3 linked regions of the Sus scrofa genome follow. Each later gene encodes a partner of the first gene's protein in a complex. Links are inferred from orthologs where the notes say so. Each region holds a gene or a part of one and is shown in the gene's direction. Other genes may lie near its edges.

Region 1 (2,827 bases):
GCCCCTTCCTAGCCTTGACAGTGGCTTCCATCCACCAACACCCTCTCAGTGATCCACGTGCAAGTAGCTCCCTACCTGCTTGGAACAAGTTCTCTGGTTCATTTGGTTTTCTGTCAACACTCACACAGAGTTCTTTACAGTTGAAAGCTACCACAGTGTGGCTTCACTTAGATGCTAAAAATCCAGATTCCTTAGCTTTCAGCATTTGAACTTTCTCCCTTCTTGTTTGCAACTAAAACTGTTAAAGAGTGAAAGTGCTGAATGTGGAGGGGCCAGGCCTAGGCAGCCTTGGTGCCCTGGGGACATTTCAGGATGGGAGATCTCCTCTTCCCATGAGCAGCACTCTCCCACAAATGACAAATTACGGTCACTTGTGCCTTCCTGCAGATCTGGGTGTCTGGGGCTGGCTGGGCTCTGACCTTGTGTCCTAGCCAGCTTGATGGTATCCCAGTGTTTCTGCTCTACTGGGTAAGGAAAGCCTGGGAGGAACATGTTCTTGTGTGAGCATGTTGCTACACGGAATAGGCCTTCTCTCAAGGATAGCACTGACCATAGCTTTCGGCAAAGTTTCCCCTGACAGGCTCTCCAGGACCGTTGCTGTGAGTTCACCTTTGGACTGCATGCCTTCATGTGCTACCCTAGAGCCCAAGTGTTTTCACCCCCTGGTCCTACCTGCAGGATGTGCTAAGCTCTCAGCATGTTAATAAAGGTTGGCTTTTGGTCTCTGCCATGGGCCCTTCTAGCTCCTTGTGCTTTGGTCATCTTAACATGGACTGTGTTTCACTGAGACTTGGGGCAGTTGGGAGGAATGGTAGGACCTGGCAGTGGTTGTTTCTGGCTCCTTGAAGAGCTCTGTTAGATGGTGGAGAATCTAGCATTCATTTGAAAGCCACACCTCTTCATGCATGTTGGACATTACCTCCCACAGTGGCAGGTTGAAGGTCTTAAAGGTAAGTTGCCCTGTGACCTTGGGCATCATTTCCGGAGATAATGGCAGCAGCTGTTTCAAATTCCGGTCATCCTTATTCTAAGATTCCCATACTCTCCGTTCTAAGGGTAATTTGGGGGCTCAAGAAGCAGGTGGACGGGTTTGTCTTGTTTGGAAACCAGGTTATTTATCGGCTTATGCCTTGAGTTTCCAGGAGAGATAGCAGAGCCTCTGTCTGCCTGTGGGTGAGTGGGTAGGGGTGGTCTCTCAAGCTGCTCCTGTTCTGCTGACCCTGGGCAGCACAGAAAGAGACCCAGGGGCTTCTTGTTTCGACAGGTTTCTCTGGCCAGTGTTGCTCCCACCAGTCTACAGCATGGGGAATATCTTTGCAAACCTCTTCAAGGGCCTTTTTGGCAAGAAAGAAATGCGCATTCTCATGGTGGGTCTAGATGCTGCGGGAAAGACCACCATCCTGTACAAACTGAAGCTGGGTGAAATCGTGACCACCATTCCCACTATAGGTGAGGAGGCCGGGCCTCGGAGGCTAAGGGGTAGCAGTGGCTCTAGGGAGATGCTCACCTTGGGTCTTACTCCTCCAGGCTTCAACGTGGAAACCGTGGAGTACAAGAACATCAGCTTCACCGTGTGGGACGTGGGCGGCCAGGACAAGATCCGGCCACTGTGGCGCCACTACTTCCAGAACACGCAGGGTGAGGGTGGAACCCAGTTGTACCCCTCAAGGAGGGCCATGGCCTGTAGGAGAGGTCGGGGATGTCCTCGGTGCCTACACTAATGCTCACTCCTCCCTTTGCAGGTCTCATCTTTGTGGTAGATAGTAATGACAGAGAGCGTGTGAATGAGGCCCGAGAGGAGCTCATGAGGATGCTGGCAGAAGACGAGCTCAGGGACGCTGTTCTGCTTGTGTTTGCTAACAAACAGGTATGCATGACTGAGCTACCCTGTTGCTGGGTGGTGGGCACATGTCAGGTGGTTGGCCTCTCAGGTCTGAGGGTCTGATGAGGGAGTAACAGGACGGGTGGAAAGGGTTCCATGCAGTTTCCTTGACCCATGCCTATTGTGCTGCCTCTCCCACCAGGACCTTCCCAATGCCATGAATGCAGCCGAGATCACCGACAAGCTGGGCCTACACTCTCTGCGCCACAGGAACTGGTACATTCAGGCCACCTGTGCCACCAGTGGTGATGGGCTCTATGAGGGACTGGACTGGCTGTCCAATCAGCTCCGGAACCAGAAGTGAGCTGTACACCTCTCTCCTCCCCTCTCACTCCCTCTTCTACCCTTGCTTTACTCTCATGTGGCAAACGTGCCCCTGTGGTGTGAGTGCCAGAAGCTGTCTCCATGGTCAGTCACAGTGTGCTTCACCATGCTGTAAATGTGCAGACGCAGCCTGCAACTGGGTTTTTATTTAATGTAAATAGTTTTTGTTTCCAATGAGGCAGTTTCTGGTACTCCTATGCAATATTACTCAGCTTTTTTTATTGTAAAAAGAAAATCAACCCACTGTTTAGTACTGAGAAAGGATTTTAGGCACACGGGTCCTCTAGAAGTCACGTGTCAGACAGGCCCAATCCTCCTCCTCTGGGCTTTAGATCTGTGTTGAGATCCATTTTGGTGGTTGGTTTTTAACCCAAACTCAGTGCATTTTTTAAAAATAGTTACAAATACAAGATAAGGAGAACACTTGAACACACAGAAGGGAGAAATGTGCCTAGTGTAGGTTCTGCAGTAATCACCTGAGTCCAGTCCACTGGTGGTCTGTTTCCCATTGGGAACATGAAATGAAATGGAGCAGAACCAGCCATGATCCATTCTGCATGGTCACAATAGGATCCCTCTGATTGGCTCTGTCTTGGGTCATCCCACACCCCATTGCGTTTT
Region 2 (3,738 bases), on another chromosome or scaffold:
AGACCTTGGGTTATTGAGAAGACTCGTTAACTCTATACATTGGTTTATTGGAGATTGCTGATGTGCGATGGGTCTGGTTGAGGTGGGCGAAATGCGTGAAAACTAGATTCCCCTGGGCACCGCCAGTCCAGCAATCACACACTCAGAGCGCTCTCCTAAAGCCTCATGGTGAAAGACACTGAACCAGCACTCTGGAAGCTCAGAGAATGGGGTGGGGTGGGAGAGGATGTCTATGTGACATGTTAGAACAGGCTTCCTAGAGGGAGCAGCATTAAGTTAGTTCCTGTTAAAAATCCTAAGTGCCTGTTGTGCATCATCATTATATCAGGAACTTGCATTTTTCTCCCGTCTCTCCTGTTCTGCTCTGCAAGCTTCATTTCTCCCCAACTTGTGGGTATGTGTGTTTGTGCGTACATGTCTGTTCATGGTGGTGGGAGGGGAGGACAGCTACAAGAAATAGGTGCCATGTGGAAATTCCCCACCCCAAACCCTGCCTCTTGTCTTTTTCCCACCCCTGCCAAAGGTCACCAAAATTTTCCAGAAGAAGAAGATCTTGGTGACGTACAGCTTCCGTCAGTCCTTTCCTCTCGTGGAAATGCACATGCAGCTCTTCCAGAATTCATGTGAGTCCCTTTTTGGATCCCAGCATCCCAACAGTCTTTGCCTTGCCCCCACCCCCACCCCCACCCCACCCCCGCGCCCCATGCTCATCCTTCCTCCACACCAACCTCTCCTTCTTGGACTCCTTTATAACTGGGCTAAGGTCTCCAAAGCACCTACTTGGTCCCGGGATGCAAGGCAGGCCAGGGTGGAGTATGACTTGGGTCTCTGCCCTGGGAAGCTCATGGTCTGGCAGAGAACCTCAGCACGTACGTTTTCTGGTGGGCCGGAGAGATGGTGATCCCGCGGCGCATTGAAGGACTGAGCCAGAGGAGCTTTGATGGGTGGCCTTCTGGGCAGCAGAAGCAATGTGAGTAGAGGCAGAGGTGTGAAGGAAGGGGTTCCAGAGAGCAGCAAGAGTTCAGTCTACCTTTACACCTGGGGTGTAAGGGAGTACCAGGGCCATGACTCCCAAGAGTTTGGGGGCTTTGGAGCAAAGCGGAGCTGCTGCTGCTGCTCATGCAGAGAAGAGGCTGGATCAGAATTGGACATGAGAAAAATTATTTCACGTATGAGCCACTTTGCTTCACTTCTGACAGAGGTACCTCACCTCCCCCTTCCACACAGATTACCAGTTTGGGATCAAGTTGCTGTCTGCGGTACCCGGCGGGGAGCGCAAAGTCCTCATCATCTTCAATGCCCCCAGCCTCCAGGACCGGCTGCGCTTCACATCTGACCTGCGCGAGTCCATTGCTGAGGTGCAAGAGATGGAGAAATACCGGGTGGAGTGTGAGTAGCCCAGCCACGTCTCCTTCCTCGTTGCCTGAGACCATGCCTTGCAGACACTGGGAATCTTGTCCTTTGTAAAGCTCAGAGTTGAGGGTTAGCTTGTCCAACCTTCCTACCCTCATTCCAGGAATGCTTCAGCCTCTGCTTGAATACCTGGAGTGGTGAGGGGCTCATTACCTCTCAACCTCAAATTATTATTCCAAGCCCTCATTTTGAGCCAACTCTTCCTTCTATTGAAAGGCAGCAGGGAGAAGAATCAGGGTATTGGAGGTAGGAGTTGTGGTTTCAGATCCCAGGTATGCTACTTATTATCTGGGTGAACTGGGGCCAGTTGCCTGACTCTCTGAGCCCCGATTTCCTTCTACATGGAATTGAGGTGGTGAAATCCTCTTCATAGAGATGTGGAGATTTCAATGGGATAAGGTGGAGAATTTATCCTACATGTTTTGTTTTGTTTTGTTTTTGTTTTGTTTTGTTTGTCTTTTCTGCGGCATATGGAGGTTCCCAGGCTAGGGGTCTAATCAGAGCTGTAGCCTCCAGCCTACACCACAGCTACAGCAACGCCAGATCTGAGCCTCATCTGTGACCTACGCCACAGCTCACGGGAACGCCAGATCCTTAACCCACAGAGCGAGGCAAAGGATCGAGCCTGCATCTTCATGGTTCCTAGTCGAATTCATTAACCACTGCGCCACGACGGGAACTCTGATTTATCCTACATGTTCATTGGACATGCGTGTTGAACATCCTAGGTGTCCAACAAATGTCACTCCCCTTCCCAGCCTCTCTTTTCTCCACACATTCTGCATCCCAAACTGAGTTCCGGTGGACCCATCCTCCTGGCCTTCAGGGACTACCTCGAACCATTTCAATCCTATATAATGGAAATTAATGGGAGTTCCCATCGTGGCTCAGCGGTAATGAACCTGACTGGTATCTGTGAGGATGTGTTTTCGATCCCTGGCCTCGCTCAGTGGGTTAAAGGACCCAGTGTTGCTGTGAGCTGTGGTGTAGGTCGCAGATGTGGCTTGGATCCTGCGTTGCTGTGGCTGTGGCGTAGGCCAGCAGCTGCAGTTCCAATTGGACAGCTAGCTTGGGAACTTCTATGTACCGTGGGTGCAGCCCTAAAAGGCAAAGAAAGAACAGAAAATAGGGATTACATCTCATTCCTCCCAGTGCCCTCTACGTTTTCTCTTCTCAGGCTAAGCAGTGGAAGTTAAGTAATACCGTGTTAAGGAAAAAGAGGCAGGTAGAGAGAGACAGAGAGAGACAGAGGCAGCTGACAGCTCCTTGGTGAGAGGCCTTCACAGCTTCAGGGTCTGCTCTGCTTCTCAGCAAGGCAGGGACACTCATTCAGCTCACCAGATCCTTGAGACCCTGGAGACCTTCTGAAAGAGGGGTGAGCATGCCAGGCTGAGGGGAGGGCAATAAGTAGAAGTCTCCGTGACCTCCACAGGGAGGCACAGGCTCTGACCTGCTTCCAGGGTGTGGGCTCCCCCATTTCCAGCTGTATGACTCTGGGCAAGCTCTGTGTTTCTTCCTCTGAAAGCTGTGGCTGCTCATACTTACCTCTGAACTGGTGTGAGGATTGAGAGATCAGATACGCATCGCCCCCAGCATACTGCTGGCACATAATAGAGGATCTGATTCCTGTTGCTTTTCTGCTCCTGTCCTTCCAGGAGCCCCCTGCTCTGGAGCAAGGTATCTGAGAATGGAGCAGGCTCTGGAATGATTGACTGCCTCTTGCCATAGGCTTGAAGGGCCTTCCTGCCCCTCCTGGGAACAAAGCAGCCGCTGTAACACTCTGTTTTGAAAGGCAGGAGTGGTTTGAGAGACTAGGCAGGGGAGGGGAGATGCAAGGGGACACGAGCTGGAGGAGCAGGCACCGAGAGGGACAAGGGAAGATTGAACCAGAGGAGATGATGCGTGAAGGGCTGGGCGCTGCAAGACTTAGGAGATGTAACTGAGGTTGGCTGTCCATGGGGCAGAGCAGGACTCTAGTTTAGATTTTTGGCTGTCTAGAGCGAGTGAGGAGACGGGAGGCCCAAAGAGGGCTGGGGTCAGTCAGGTGGCCTCTCACTCCTGTCCCTGACCTTTGCTTCATGTCTCCCCCCACTGCCACGCAGCGGAGCTGGAGAAGCAGAAAGGTCTGATGCGGCCTAACGCCTCACAGCCCGGAGGGGCCAAGGACTCCGTGAATGGCACGCTGGCCCGAAGCAGCCTGGAGGACACGTATGGGGCAGGCGATGGGCTCAAACGGGGCGCGCTCAGCAGTTCCCTACGAGATCTCTCTGATGCAGGCAAGTCTCCCGGGGCCCCCTGCCCTGGCTGGGGAGCCACGGGACTGGG
Region 3 (3,738 bases), about 25 Mb from region 1:
GTGGAGAACGGCGCACTAGATGAGGAGCCCCTCCCGGTGAGGGTGCCACTGGCGCCTGCCTGGTCCTCCCCAGACAGCCCTGACAGTGTCAGGAGCCCCAAGGTGTGGGCTCATGCTGTCCAGGACCCGCTCCATTGGGCCTAGCATTTCCTGCGGGAGCACCTGGAAGCTTACACCTGGCCCCACCCTCAGCAGACATCACGCTCAGGTTCTTGGCACCCAAAGCTGACACGTTTTTCTCTTATTCCCAGCCCATGTCTAGCTACTGCCTCTTGGCTGAAAATTCGTACATCAAAATGGTGAGTGAGAAGTGTGTTTCAGAGAGCATGGTCCACGGAAGGCTCGGGGGGGTCCTTTCTCTGTGAGGGTGTGTGGAGGCAGAGCCGTGCATCGGGAATAGCTAAAATCTGTGTACATATCTGAAACTCAGTGTCCTTGAGTGAGGGTCCAGAACGTTCCTTCCTTTGCATACTTGTGCTCACACTTTTGGGCCTTCATCCAGGCCCAGAGGGGCCCCTGGTGGGCTCCCTGCACTGCTGACCTTGCCTTGCTCTGTGCAGACATACGATGTGCAGGGCAGCCTGCAGAAGGACAGCCAGGTCACCGTGTCCGTGGTCCTGGAGAACCAGAGCAGCAGCTTCCTCAAGAGTATGGAACTCAACGTGCTGGACTCACTCAACGCCCGGCTGGCCCGGCCAGAGGGCTCCTCAGTCCATGATGGTGTCCCTGTGCCTTTCCAGCTGCCCCCTGGTGAGTGGCCCCAGGACTGGCCATCACTGAGGGCAGACCCTGGGTTGTGGGGTACCTGCCACCTGCTGGGATAGCCACACACACGCTCCCAGGCTGCACCCTGCGCTGCTTTTCAGGCCCCTCTCACCCTCACTAGGCATCTCCAACGAAGCCCAGTTTGTGTTCACCATTCAGAGCATCGTCATGGCGCAGAAGCTCAAGGGGACACTATCCTTCATTGCCAAGGTACGGGGAAGCAAGGCAGCAGTGGGGCCGCCAGCTGAGAGAACCCCTACTCTGGAGCCATGCCCACACTCACCCTGCATCCCTACTCCAACAGAATGACGAAGGCTCCACCCATGAGAAGCTCGACTTCAAGCTGCACTTCACCTGCACCTCCTACTTGGTCACCACACCTTGCTACAGGTATGCCCCCTTCCATGCTGTGCCAGGCTCTGGGTGCAATCACCTCAGCCATGCTCTCTGATTTAAGGTGTGAGAGTGCACGGACTGTCGGGTGACCGGTTTATGGTGAGCACAAAAAGCCCAGCATATCTGCTGTGCCGGCCAGCTCAGCTGCATAACACTGAGCGCAGGTCCTGTGGTCCAAGCACAGGTATTGGTTTCCTCCCAGTGCTGCAGGCTGAGACCAGTGATGGCAGAAGTGGGTCATCCTGAGGCCATCCTGTTTGGAGTGCAGACGGTCACGTGTCTTGTTCTCACAGGGACCCCAGTCTCAAATGCAGTTGCATTCTGACGTCCTGGGGGTCTGGGCTTCAACATAGGAGTTTCGGGGACATAGTCCAGCTCTTGATTTCTCACAGCACCCTTGGAGACCCTAAGCCACAGGCACACACCAAGGCCCCCTGTTTTTACTGTCCCGTTCCGTCCCTTTCCCACAGTGATGCCTTTGCCAAGTTGTTGGAGTCTGGGGACCTGAGCATGAGCTCAATCAAGGTTGATGGCATTAGTATGTCCTTCCAGAACCTTCTGGCAAAGATCTGTTTTCATCACCGTTTTTCCGGTAAGGGATTGGACATGGCTGATAGATGGCTCTGCTTTTCTACACATGTGACTCCTCCCCACCCCAGGGCTGGCCCAGCCTCACCCCTTGCCCTCTGTTGTAGTTGTGGAACGAGTGGATTCCTGCGCCTCCATGTACAGCCGCTCCATCCAGGGACACCACGTCTGCCTCCTGGTGAAGAAGGTGAGCCCTCAGGAAGGTCCCACCCAGCCTTTCCACTCCTCAGCACTGTGCCTTTGCAGCTTTGAGCCCTGTTCAGGAGGATGTTGGCCTATCCTGCGCTCCTCTGGCCTTGGCACTGGGACCTCACCAACTAAGTGGGGAGGCATTCCTTCCTCTAGCCTTTTGTAGAAGAGGTGGCGTGTAGTCAGTGTACATCTTCTTGCATGTTATGTAGAATTCACCAAGGAAATCAGGTCAGGGGCCTTCTTTTTTGAAAGGTTTTTATCTACAACTTCAACTTCTTAAAATTGCAGGAATTCTTTTTTTTTTTTTCTTTTGTCCTTTTGTCTTTTTGCCACTTCTTGGGCCACTCCTGCCGCATATGGAGGTTCCCAGGCTAGGGGTCGAATTGGAGCTGCAGCCACCAACCTATACCAGAGCCACAGCAATGCAGGATCCAAGCTGCGTCTGCAACTTATACCACAGCTCACGGCAACGCCAGATCCTTAACCCACTGAGCAAGGCCAGGGATCGAACCCGCAACCTCATGGTTCCTAGTCAGATTCATTAACCACTGAGCCATGACGGGAACTCCAAAATTGTAGGAATTCTTAATTTATCTGTTTTTTCTTGTATGAGTCGTGGTAGTTTGTGGTTTTCAAGATGTGGTCCATTTCATCCTAGTTACAGAGTTGATCATGGGTTGAGTGTTCTTGTCCTTTTAGTCTCTGAGGGATCAGTGAAAACCTTCCCTCATTGCTGATGTTGGTAATTTGTGTCTTCTCCCATTTTTCTTGGCTAGAAGACTTACCCATTTTGTCGATCCTTTTTTTTTGTGACCCTGCCAGCGCCATGCAGAAGTTCATGGGCCAGGGATCAAACCAGAAACATAGCTTTAACGCCAACTCCTTAACCCACTGAGCCACCAGGAAATTTCTTGTTGCTCTTTTGAAAAATCAACTTCAGAAATAACTTTTTTAGGGCGACACCTACAGCATACAGAAGTTCCCAGTCTTGGGCTCGAATCAGCTGCAGCTGCCAGCCTGCACCACAGCCACAGCAGGGCCAGATCTGAGTTGCATCTGCGACCTATACCACAGCTTACAGCAACACTGGATACTTAACCCACTAAGTGAGGCCAGGAATCGAACCCGCATTCTCATACTAGTTGGGTTCATTACTGCTGAGTCACAGTGGGAACTCCCAGAACCAACTTTTAAAATAAAGTTACTGTGTGAGGTTTTTTTGTGGCCCAGTGGGTTAAGGATCCACCATTGTCAAGCTTGCGTTGCTACTATGGTATAGGTTTAATCCCTGGCCCAGGAATTTCCACATGTAGTGGGTAGGCGCCAAAAAAAAAAAGTTACCATGTTTTTAAACAGTAAGTAAATTTTATGGAGTTATGCTGCCTAGCTCCTTACTTCTATTTGGGGTTTATTTTGCTCCTTTGTGAGGTTGTTAAGGTGGAAACTTGGACCTTTCCAAAAGACCTGTTTATTCTAAGAAAATGTTTAGTGCCATAAATTTTTCTCTAAGCATTGCCCTTTAGCTGAACCCTGCAAATTTTAATGATTTATTTTCATTTCTGTACAGTTTAAAACATTTTCTAATTTCTATCAAGACCTCTTCTATGTCACATGGATCAGAGTTTCCTGTTGCTTTTGTGTTACTGACAAGCCATTGAACTGTGGTCTTTGTGGACAGGAGTTCCGTAGGTGCCTGGAATTGTTCAGTACTTGTCACCTAGGTCCCCTTGGTTGATGGTGCTTTTGATTCTTCTGGGTCCTTGAAGATTTCCTCTCTGCTGGCCCTTGATGATATGA

Evidence for each region. Proteins that work in one complex are often made in the same cells at the same time.
Region 2: the proteins of ARF1 (region 1) and IQSEC2 are in contact, whole or in part, in a crystal structure (PDB 6FAE), measured with the Homo sapiens proteins. The link is inferred for Sus scrofa from reciprocal best matches to the Homo sapiens genes ARF1 and IQSEC2. Residues at the interface, in NP_001019397.1 of Homo sapiens: Arg19, Gly24, Leu25, Asp26, Ala27, Lys30, Thr31, Ile46, Pro47, Thr48, Ile49, Gly50, Phe51, Asn52, Val53, Glu54, Thr55, Thr64, Trp66, Asp67, Val68, Gly69, Gly70, Gln71, Lys73, Ile74, Pro76, Leu77, Trp78, His80; in NP_001104595.1 of Homo sapiens: Arg810, Gln811, Gln841, Arg845, Val846, Gln847, Gly848, Glu849, Ala850, Gln851, Val853, Glu854, Glu858, Asp879, Phe882, Ile883, Phe886, Ala887, Ile889, Leu890, Asn892, Thr893, Asp894, Tyr896, Ser897, Pro898, Ser899, Val900, Arg904, Met906.
Region 3: the proteins of ARF1 (region 1) and AP3D1 are in contact, whole or in part, in a cryo-EM structure (PDB 9C5B), measured with the Homo sapiens proteins. The link is inferred for Sus scrofa from reciprocal best matches to the Homo sapiens genes ARF1 and AP3D1. Residues at the interface, in NP_001019397.1 of Homo sapiens: Tyr35, Ile46, Pro47, Thr48, Ile49, Gly50, Phe51, Asn52, Val53, Glu54, Trp66, Lys73, Ile74, Leu77, His80, Tyr81, Gln83, Asn84; in NP_003929.4 of Homo sapiens: Lys48, Asp50, Phe77, Ile80, Glu81, Ser84, Asp107, Met110, Leu111, Thr112, Thr113, Asn114, Gln115, Arg117, Lys118.

What each region holds. Positions count from the first base shown.
Region 1 is NC_010444.4:51,234,292-51,237,118, forward strand, and holds ARF1 (ADP-ribosylation factor 1), read left to right. Parts: upstream 1-1,263; 5' UTR 1,264-1,264; coding exon of another isoform or gene 1,265-1,301; coding exon 1,302-1,449; coding exon of another isoform or gene 1,450-1,527; coding exon 1,528-1,638; intron 1,639-1,742; coding exon 1,743-1,867; intron 1,868-2,024; coding exon 2,025-2,186; 3' UTR 2,187-2,220; downstream 2,221-2,827. UniProt on the Homo sapiens protein: Small GTPase involved in protein trafficking between different compartments. Modulates vesicle budding and uncoating within the Golgi complex. In its GTP-bound form, triggers the recruitment of coatomer proteins to the Golgi membrane.
Region 2 is NC_010461.5:46,014,808-46,018,545, reverse strand, and holds part of IQSEC2 (IQ motif and SEC7 domain-containing protein 2), read left to right. Parts: intron 1-523; coding exon 524-623; intron 624-841; coding exon 842-970; intron 971-1,227; coding exon 1,228-1,389; intron 1,390-3,515; coding exon 3,516-3,689; intron 3,690-3,738. UniProt on the Homo sapiens protein: Is a guanine nucleotide exchange factor for the ARF GTP-binding proteins.
Region 3 is NC_010444.4:76,462,886-76,466,623, forward strand, and holds part of AP3D1 (AP-3 complex subunit delta-1), read left to right. Parts: coding exon 1-36; intron 37-251; coding exon 252-299; intron 300-560; coding exon 561-750; intron 751-886; coding exon 887-975; intron 976-1,069; coding exon 1,070-1,155; intron 1,156-1,631; coding exon 1,632-1,753; intron 1,754-1,856; coding exon 1,857-1,936; intron 1,937-3,738. UniProt on the Homo sapiens protein: Part of the AP-3 complex, an adaptor-related complex which is not clathrin-associated. The complex is associated with the Golgi region as well as more peripheral structures.